2 linked regions of the Saccharomyces cerevisiae S288C genome follow. Changing the gene in region 2 together with the main gene of any one other region gives a genetic interaction. Each region holds a gene or a part of one and is shown on either strand. Other genes may lie near its edges.

What was found.
Region 1: mutations in BUD2 (region 2) and GEF1 together harm fitness more than expected from each alone (negative genetic interaction), as found in Saccharomyces cerevisiae (2 studies listed by BioGRID).

The regions. Positions count from the first base shown.
Region 1 is NC_001142.9:505,870-510,602, forward strand, and holds GEF1 (Gef1p), read left to right. Parts: upstream 1-1,876; coding exon 1,877-4,216; downstream 4,217-4,733. Other genes in the region: MLO127 (Mlo127p), read left to right, coding at 1-1,432; ribosome biogenesis protein URB2, read right to left, coding at 4,370-4,733. UniProt on the Saccharomyces cerevisiae protein: Anion/proton exchange transporter involved in iron and copper cation homeostasis. Involved in intracellular iron metabolism during growth on fermentable and non fermentable carbon sources.
Region 2 is NC_001143.9:265,580-271,139, forward strand, and holds BUD2 (GTPase-activating protein BUD2), read right to left. Parts: upstream 3,881-5,560; coding exon 566-3,880; downstream 1-565. Other genes in the region: MBR1 (Mbr1p), read left to right, coding at 1-229; YKL091C (phosphatidylinositol/phosphatidylcholine-binding protein), read right to left, coding at 4,139-5,071. UniProt on the Saccharomyces cerevisiae protein: Stimulates the GTPase activity of BUD1/RSR1. Participates in the regulation of bud-site selection.

The DNA.
Region 1 (4,733 bases), on a different chromosome or scaffold from region 2:
TTTTATATATACAGCCGATACTATAATTTTTTTCAAGCCAAGTAAAATAAAAGGTAGATTTAAAATCCAAGAAGTATATGCACCATGTCCTATAAGCTGTTTGATACCTGGAGAAAAAGATGGCTCAGTTGTTATGGTTACTTCTCAAGGTCAATTTTACGACGTACTTGTTCCTGGTGATGCCGGAAGGGCTACTCTTTGTTCTAAGTTTGAAAAAGTTTTAAAAACATGTCTCAAATTTATAACTTTGGAATCTTCATCAAGATATGTGATTGTAGCGGCCCTGCCAGTAGCAAATCCATTGCAGGACAAGTATTCCGAAATTTATGTGTATGATATTAAACAGTTCAAAAACATTTCCGCATTCAATTTTTCTAACCTCAACAATGATATCGAGAGTATAAAATATGAAAACGCTATGATATCAGATATTATTGCCGTACCCATGCTCAAAAGAACCGAAACATTAGGAAAAAGAAAGACTTCTGAGCTGTATAAGGAAGTGATTTTCAATTCATGTATCTTGGTGTCTCTAAATTTAGACTCAATAGACGGTATTGATAGTAAAAATATGAATAACCTATTATTGTTTTCATTTGATGAGGAATCGGGTTTTATTGAATTTGTTTTTGGGATTAACACGGGGTTCTCAATCAGTGGGTTACATAACTATTACAATGGATGTGTTTTGGTTTATGGGGAGTTTGTGCAAGCTTATCAACTGAACTATTCAGTTCATGATAACAAGTTCAGTATTGAACAGGTTTCAAATAGGTTGAATATTTCTGGTATTACAATAACATCATCTATATTTTTTGATAAAAGGAAGGCAAAGATGGCTAGGAAGCAGCAAAATATAGGTACATGGGTTTATTTGGAAGAAATGATTTTACTTGATGTACGGAAAGGTGTGATGAGGTTCAATGTCATCCATACAACAGACGGTAACATAGAAAAGGTTCAATTGCAGGTACAGCCTCTGAATTTATTTGAGAGGGACCTCATCAATAGCATTACCGACACCGGGAAAATGTTTACCGGTGCAGCCGCTATAACTTTCAAGAATATTAGGTATCTACTAATTTCGTACGGTGATCAAAAGCTCACGTTATTTAGTTTAAAACTTGATGGTGAGGAAGAAATAGACGAAAGAGTGTACCATGTTGCTGAGCAAGTTACAACCATCAACTCTGTAAGAACTACTGATTCCAGAATGAGCACGTTTTTAGGCGAATCTACATTTATGCCCTTATTCTTAGTAAGTACCTTGTCTAACGGTTGTTATGTGATCGGAATCCTGCATGAAGAGTCAGATATCTCATTACATATCTTATCAGAAAAGAAAGCTGTCTTCGCAAAGCGGTCGGTTCAAAAGTTCCTGGGCTTCCTCGATCCTCAAATGGATGATCACACTGTAATATCTGAAATTTAGTGTCTACGTTATGATATATACACTTACAAATTTACTTTCCTTTTTTAGTATAGTTTTCAAGTAAAATTCTTGAAGCGGTGTTGTTTTTGTTTGTTCTTCGTTTAGCAAAAGTCATTGTTAAATACACGCTATAATATGGCCATGACCGTAGGACCGAATGCTGTCCGAAAAATGATACTTATCACACATTTCAAATAAGATCGGTTTTGTAGTTCAAAGATTTCTTAAGAGCCTTTTACGTGTTTCTTAAGAAACACTTCACATTGGCTATCATTATTAGTAAATAGATTTATATGATTTTCACTTATTAAGGACAGAAATGTCGCGATTTCGAACCCATAAAAAAAGGAAAAGCACCGCCTGTTCTCCAGTCTTCATAAAAGCACACCGTATAGAAAGGGCGGTGAATGTTGATCTTGCATACTATAAAATTATTTGACACTAATGCCAACAACTTATGTGCCAATAAATCAACCAATTGGGGATGGTGAAGATGTCATTGACACCAATCGATTCACCAATATTCCAGAAACGCAAAATTTTGACCAATTTGTTACAATTGATAAGATTGCTGAGGAAAATAGACCACTGTCTGTAGACTCGGACAGGGAGTTCCTTAATTCAAAATATCGACATTACCGAGAGGTTATATGGGACCGTGCAAAAACATTTATCACATTAAGCTCTACGGCCATAGTTATTGGATGTATTGCTGGTTTCCTACAAGTCTTCACGGAAACTCTGGTTAACTGGAAAACAGGTCATTGTCAGAGGAACTGGCTACTTAATAAATCCTTCTGTTGTAACGGCGTGGTTAATGAGGTTACCTCTACAAGCAATTTACTACTGAAAAGACAAGAGTTTGAATGCGAGGCACAAGGGCTTTGGATTGCCTGGAAGGGACATGTGTCCCCTTTTATAATTTTCATGCTTTTGTCAGTCTTATTTGCTCTAATTAGTACACTGTTAGTCAAATATGTTGCTCCTATGGCTACTGGTTCAGGAATCTCAGAGATTAAGGTATGGGTATCAGGTTTTGAATACAATAAGGAATTTTTGGGTTTCTTAACATTAGTCATTAAAAGTGTTGCCCTTCCTTTGGCTATTTCTTCGGGATTAAGCGTAGGTAAAGAAGGGCCCTCAGTTCATTATGCAACCTGTTGTGGGTACTTACTCACAAAATGGCTACTAAGAGATACTTTGACGTATTCATCGCAATATGAGTATATCACAGCAGCTAGTGGAGCAGGTGTTGCGGTTGCTTTTGGTGCTCCTATTGGTGGTGTCCTTTTTGGTTTGGAAGAGATTGCTTCTGCGAATAGGTTTAACTCCTCTACCTTATGGAAATCCTATTATGTCGCCCTAGTCGCAATAACTACTTTGAAGTACATTGATCCATTTAGGAATGGCAGAGTTATTTTATTCAATGTAACATATGATAGAGACTGGAAGGTACAAGAGATTCCGATCTTTATAGCCTTAGGAATCTTTGGTGGTTTATATGGAAAATATATTAGTAAGTGGAACATCAACTTTATTCACTTTCGCAAAATGTACCTGTCCTCATGGCCAGTTCAAGAAGTGCTTTTTTTGGCGACGCTTACTGCTTTGATTTCTTACTTCAATGAGTTCTTGAAATTAGACATGACAGAAAGTATGGGTATATTGTTTCATGAATGTGTCAAGAACGATAACACCTCAACTTTTAGTCATAGGTTATGTCAGTTGGATGAAAATACGCACGCTTTTGAGTTCTTAAAAATTTTTACTTCCCTATGCTTTGCCACTGTTATCAGGGCCTTGTTGGTGGTGGTATCATATGGCGCCAGAGTTCCTGCCGGAATCTTTGTTCCTTCAATGGCGGTTGGGGCCACATTTGGACGGGCAGTAAGTCTACTGGTAGAGAGATTTATAAGTGGCCCTTCTGTTATTACTCCTGGTGCCTACGCCTTCCTGGGAGCAGCCGCTACCTTGAGCGGGATAACTAACTTGACTTTAACTGTGGTGGTAATAATGTTCGAGCTAACAGGCGCCTTCATGTATATCATACCCCTTATGATTGTAGTGGCAATAACAAGGATAATTTTAAGCACGTCTGGTATTTCTGGCGGTATTGCTGATCAAATGATCATGGTTAATGGATTCCCATATTTGGAAGACGAGCAAGACGAGGAAGAGGAGGAAACCTTAGAAAAATACACTGCAGAGCAGCTCATGTCCTCCAAATTAATTACTATTAATGAAACCATTTACCTTTCCGAGCTTGAATCTTTGTTGTACGACTCAGCGTCTGAATATTCTGTGCATGGTTTTCCAATAACTAAGGATGAGGATAAGTTTGAGAAGGAAAAAAGATGTATTGGCTATGTTTTAAAAAGGCACTTAGCCAGTAAAATCATGATGCAAAGCGTAAATAGCACCAAAGCTCAAACGACACTGGTATACTTCAATAAGTCTAACGAAGAGTTGGGACATCGTGAAAACTGCATCGGATTTAAGGATATTATGAATGAATCTCCAATCTCGGTGAAGAAGGCGGTGCCAGTAACATTGTTATTCCGTATGTTTAAAGAGCTAGGTTGTAAGACTATCATCGTAGAGGAAAGTGGAATTTTAAAGGGGTTGGTCACTGCTAAAGATATTTTGAGGTTCAAAAGAATTAAGTATCGAGAAGTTCACGGTGCGAAATTTACATATAATGAAGCACTTGATAGAAGATGTTGGTCAGTTATCCATTTCATAATCAAAAGGTTTACCACTAATCGAAATGGTAACGTTATATGATTAGACATTTATGTAATTTTTAAGGCGCTAGTATAGATTATTCAAAATTATATGATACAGACTTTTATCAATTTTTACTTGTTTAAGCTCCGTCACCCTGTTATTAAACGTGAGCAGAGAAATGCCTTTTGAAAACACACTAAAACACATAAGTTAATCTTCGCGCCATTTACCAACCTTTTTGTATTGGAGGTAAAGTGCTTTGAAATATTGTTTCCCAGGTGTGTCAAGGAAAGCGTTCAATTGATTCAACTCGTTCTGAGATAATATATCAAAAATCGCATGAATACCGGGCTGCAGACTCTTTTTTATGTTTAAACTGAACTGCGTCGTAATAGACAACTGTATATATTTCGTTAGAACCACAAGTACATTTTTTCTGATGGACTGCTTTATCAAACTTATCTTTGAGCTTAAGTTATTTTTCTGCCCATTTTGAGCGTTTGATACATTATAAGGCTCGCAGTAGTTCGTTATTAGTCTGGCTACGGCGTCTGCTGAATTTGCACACAATGTA
Region 2 (5,560 bases):
GCCCCGTGAAATATCATCGTGTTGTCCGAACGATACAGGGGACACCTCCTCATCATTATCACATTCGAACACTTCCTCATCACTAAATTTCCCTTTAGGTACAAATACAAATCAATTCCACCAACCAAGGCAGCCAGTACAACAGCAACAGTCTTCGAAACCAAACTTTGGTGCTGGGAGGAAAAAATCTTTCATTGAGATGTCACTAGCAAGTTCCTTTGCAGGCTAACATTCTCGCCACCTTGGAATAACCGTATGATGTTCAACTTTGTTATTTATTTCCACATTCTGGATCGCCATCTGTTCGTTTTTATTAAATATAATATATACCCATTTGTATCTCCTGTTTGGTTTCCAAATTTCCATATACTTATCGCTGTCTATCATCTCCTCTCGAAGCATTTTTTTATATACTATATTATGAGAAATCTTTCTGAAAAATTATGAATTACTTTTTTCTGCTGATAGTACAACCCGCTATATACTGTTACAAGTAGTGAATAAAGAAGTAAAAAAAAAAAAACTTTCAAAGGAAAGAATATGAAGTGAACATTTTTTTCTACGATTAAGATCCCCCTGTTTCTTTTTTCTTTTTGAACCATCTTGTCAGCTTACGGGAATTTTGTTCTTTAGGAACATCTGCGTTAGGAGGTTTCCTCATTATCCTAGATAACTTTGTCGGGGAAAATCTATTCCCCAAGTTACCTTTACCTTGCGAGTTTGGAAGCGTCAAGTAATCATCCTTGGCTCCATTTTCCGATGATGTTCCATGTACCGATGTTTTGTTGCTACTCTTGGGATTCTCATCACTTACATCAATAGTCAAAAATTTACAGTAACTATCTCCAACTGTGTTATTGGATTTACTAGAGACACCTTTTGTGAAGAATTTCTGCAATCTTGCGGAAGAGTTTTCATTTGTTGGTTTATTTAGTAGTTTAAGAACAATTTCTTTTCCCTCCTTTATTTCTTCATAAAAAATTTTATGTGAGAGTGAAATGGAGTATTTTTTGTCTTCAAACAAAGTGCTGGAAGCACATTCATAACCTGACAACCGTTTTCTAATATGATTAATCCTATTATAGAGTAAACATGACTCTTGCTCCAATTCTTTCATTGCATGCTTTTCCTCTTCTGCTTTCGGGATTATAGAATTAAATTTGATGCCTGAATTAGCGCCATTATCCAAATCTCTGCTTCTGGAACCTACATCATCGCTTTTCAGTAGGTTCATTAAATCATCTCCGAAGATCTCCGTGTTGTTTTCAGTTATTTTCTCAAATTCTAACTCTCCAATTTCTGGCTTAACCTCAATTGGTGAATCCAAATCTTTTTTATCCACAGACAAATTTAGGCTGCTACCGCTTAACAGGCCCTCCTCTTCGATTAATTCTCCCTTCCCACCATTATCCATGTGATTGTATTTTTCCATCTTGGTCATATCTTCCTGACTGAAATTAACAATCAAGTTAACAAACTCAGTTTCTCTCAAATTCTTATCAAGCAGATAAGGAATCTGAGGCAAATCATCCAACATCGTTTGTTCAATGGCCAATTTGGGTCTCGAAATAGTAGAACTTAGGTTCAATATCTTTGAATTAAAATCTAGTTTCTTTTGCGTCATTTTATCAATGTAATCTAATAAGTCATTGTGTCTTTTATCGATAAAGTTATTCATCTTCATTAGCCAGGGCTCTTTGTTTGCAAACTGCGTCAAAGTGGACAGATTAAGTAAAACTTTACTTATTAGGGTAAGATTCCTTCTTGCTGTTTCGTTTAAATTTTGAGAAACATATTTGAATAGCTTAGGGTTTAATATGACTGGACAAAAAAACCTTAAAAACAATAATCCTGATATACCATTCAAAATTATTTGCAAAGTGTCATCGATACAAATTATCTCTAGTTTTTGCCTAAAGATTTTTAAAACATTTCTTATTTCAATCGGCAGGTCATTACTCGTTGCATACAGCCTTTTCCAAATCTTCGTAACCCAAGAATACAATCGTTTGTAGTTGTCGGCAATTATTTTCCTCTTTTTTACTTCATCTTTTTCTTTTACTCTAGCAGGATCCAATTCACATGATTTGTTTGACTCAATGATCTCTTTTAGTATTGCACTAAGCGCTTTACTCAAATATTCATTACCCACTCTGAAAAAGTACTGTTCAATCGACTTTGTTAAGATAGAGTTACCACGGAATAAACTGTTGAAAACATGCTTTGAGTCTAAATTTTTCTGGTTTATTCTTGAAACCGTTCCATCAATTTTAGCCAATTCTTTGTCTATAAGGACGTGGAACCATTCTTCTATTCTTGACAAAGATTGGAATATATCGAGAAAAATTATGGATGTTTGCGTCAATTTGTTATCATTCTCCATTGATGAAGAAGATTTGTAAATTAGATTGGAAACCATGGACAAGTTTGCGTTCATCAAAAGTTTTTCCAATTTAACGAAATTGGTTGACGGTAAAATGAAGTTCAAATTTGAAGAAATTTTAATACAGATTGTTCCTATTTGAAAATTTTTGTTATCAACGTCCATGATGGGTAGTCTTGTTTCCTTATTATATCTTGTATCATTTATTATTTCTTGTGTGATTTTTATTTTGCCTATCAATCGTAACCGTTTTTTATTATTGAGATCGTGGAATAACTGCTTGATTTCCAGATAAGAATTAGTAAGTCTTAAAAGTTCATTGAACTGAAACTCTTCTCTCCAAAATGGATTAGAGGAGTTTGAAACCATGGATGTTCTAGCCCATGTATGGCCCCAGGCCGTTATGTCTGTGAATATTGACCATGGCGTATTATTCTTGTCATTTAAATTGATTGACTGAAAATTAGCTTCCAGTATGGAAATTTTAAAGCTATTCGATATCTTCATATCATTTGATTTATCTGAGCCAGTAATAGATAAGTATTCCGACCTAGCGAACGATTGTAACGCTATAAAACAATCCTCCAGGTCTATTCTTAAGGGAAACTCTACAATAATTTCTTGAGAAATATCACTAGAGTTGGTGGCAGCACTGGCAATATTTTCTATGCGAAACTTTTCGAGGCCCAACTGGCTCCTTAGTAATGGCAATTCACCTAAAAACAAACTGTTTTCACTTTGTAAAACAGATGAATCCAGAATTCTTATCTCTGATCTTAAAAGCTGGCTAATATTCAATGAGTAAATCAGAGAGCCGTCACTCTGTAAAAGAAGATCTAGCATGCCGTTTGATTTAAGCACCCCCATAGCGGAAAACCAACCTACGCTGTTGTCATCATTATTAATTATATCAGGGCTTTCTAAAATATTTGTTGCTGGCGGAAGGACGATGTTCTTAACGATGGGCCCAAAAACATTCAATTTGTAAACCAGCAAACTTTCTGGTTTCGCCATTTTTTTGCTTTTAAATTCTAGAGGTCGCGATACTTGAAACTTATTAAATATACCATTTGTCTTCATTGAGCTCCACCAGATCAGACATGTTAGCAATTTCTTGAAATCACTCCAACTTTTAACTCGCAGGTAAACTTTATTATCTTTACCTGAGGTGTTTACTTGGATTATAAAATTACAATTTGCATTAATATCCTTAAAAGAGGAATGCTTATCCTTAATAATCTCGATTCTACATTGCTGTAGATGTTTGATAATTGGCTGAATATTAGTAGAGTCTGCTGTTAACTCATCGATTGAGTGGGTTAGTGCACCTGTACTGGTAATTTGCAGATAGTGTGTCTTCCAGTCGTTTAAGGACAGGTTATTACACCACTGAATCTCACCCTTAAAGGTATTCTTGTAATGCTTAACGTTGGACAAAAATTCATTCAATTTGAAATATGATGTTCGACTTTGGGCCGGTTCATTGTTGGAGCTCATAATATGATACAATCAAAGATAAACACCACGACGTATGCACGGATAAAGTTTTCAGTCTGACCGAGTAGTTATTCCTACTATTTTGTTGTTTCTTCCTCCGTTTTCATAAATGGCGTTTGTTTGGATACCTTTCTTTTTTATCGAACAGAACGCGTTCAAGAATGAAAGTCATTAATTATTATTAGATACAGAGATATACATATTATAGAGTATGCATGCTATATTCACGGAAAGCTACGACGAAGGCCTGTATCATAGTTAGCTGGTAACAGTAAATTTACCAAAAATGTTGGGAATTTCACCTTCTGGTCCGATGTATCTAGGGTCTCTCCAGGGACCAATATCGGAATAGTAGAACTTATCATTAGGGTTGTGCAAGACAGATGTACCACCATATTTAACAGGCAAGTTCTCGATTGGAATTTGTTTTAATAATTCCTTTTTATAAGAAGAGCCAAGAATAAAGATTTTTGACACGGTTACTGGATCCAAGAAGGGTTTAACCATCTTGAACATCGTCGAGAAACCAAATGGACTGTGTATAATATAAAACTTACCCATTCTTTCAGGATAATAATTTTGACTGATATCTGCAACATCTTTAATATAGGAAAGCACATGATAAGCATTAGAAAGTGAGATACCCTTCAAGTCCAGCACAGTGCACGAAGTTTCAATAAGGTAGCCAGCTCTTCTCGAACACGCTGGGACCCGGTACGTGGCAAATAATTCGTACTCCTTGACTAAGTTTCTTAGCATCTGTTTTTCGGTAGTGATCTTGTACATTTTCTTTAAGTTAATTCCTCCTAGTTCTTCGAAGTACAATGGTCTCCCATCCTTATCAACGTGATGGTAATACTGAGGGTACATTTTGGCCAATTTGATTCTTTCTTTGTCTTCGGCTTCCTTGTTGTTTTCATAATCCTCGATAATAGTGTTGGCACCGTATTCTTCCCTCCATCGTTCAGTTTCTACAAACATCTCAACGCTAGCATTGATATCAAATTTCCTTGCCCGTAGAAATCGCAATAGCGTAGAATCATCCAGCCTTTCTTTGTAATTCTTTTCTAACAAGATTGACCTAAATTGCAAAAGCGCTTCCTCTTGCTCCTTAGTCAAATTGCCGGGAGTACCTGGCAAAGCATTGGGGGAGCATATTTGAGGATAAGTATCGAGTATGCTGGTTGTCATTCTTCCTTTCCAGTTTTAACAGTGCGCAAATGTATTGCTTTTCAGATTTATTTCCCCGTTATACAAGTTCAAGGAAATGTTTGAGTAGAGAGAATCACGATCTAAATAATAATCCGAAGAATTTAAAAAGGAGTAAATAGGGGCATACAAGAGGGGGAATTTCAGAAGTGCCTGTTATGTAAAAAAGATATGATAACACATAATGGATTGCATACCAGTAAATTTCCATATGTACTATGCCGACCTCTTTTCATGTAAACGCCTTGCAAATTCATACTTAATGATTACAAGAAAGTAATATGTAAATTTTAAGCTCAGGTTCAAGGTTTATAAGGGCCTTCGTCTCTGATAGAAGAATCAAGTTGGTAAATCCAAATGGAAGTACGGGTCCCAATAGCAGGTTTGATTTTTGAAGGTGACTCGAGATATATCAGCTGCCGCCCCTGAATCAGCAGTAATTATAACTGAAGAGAACGGACAATGTTTTAC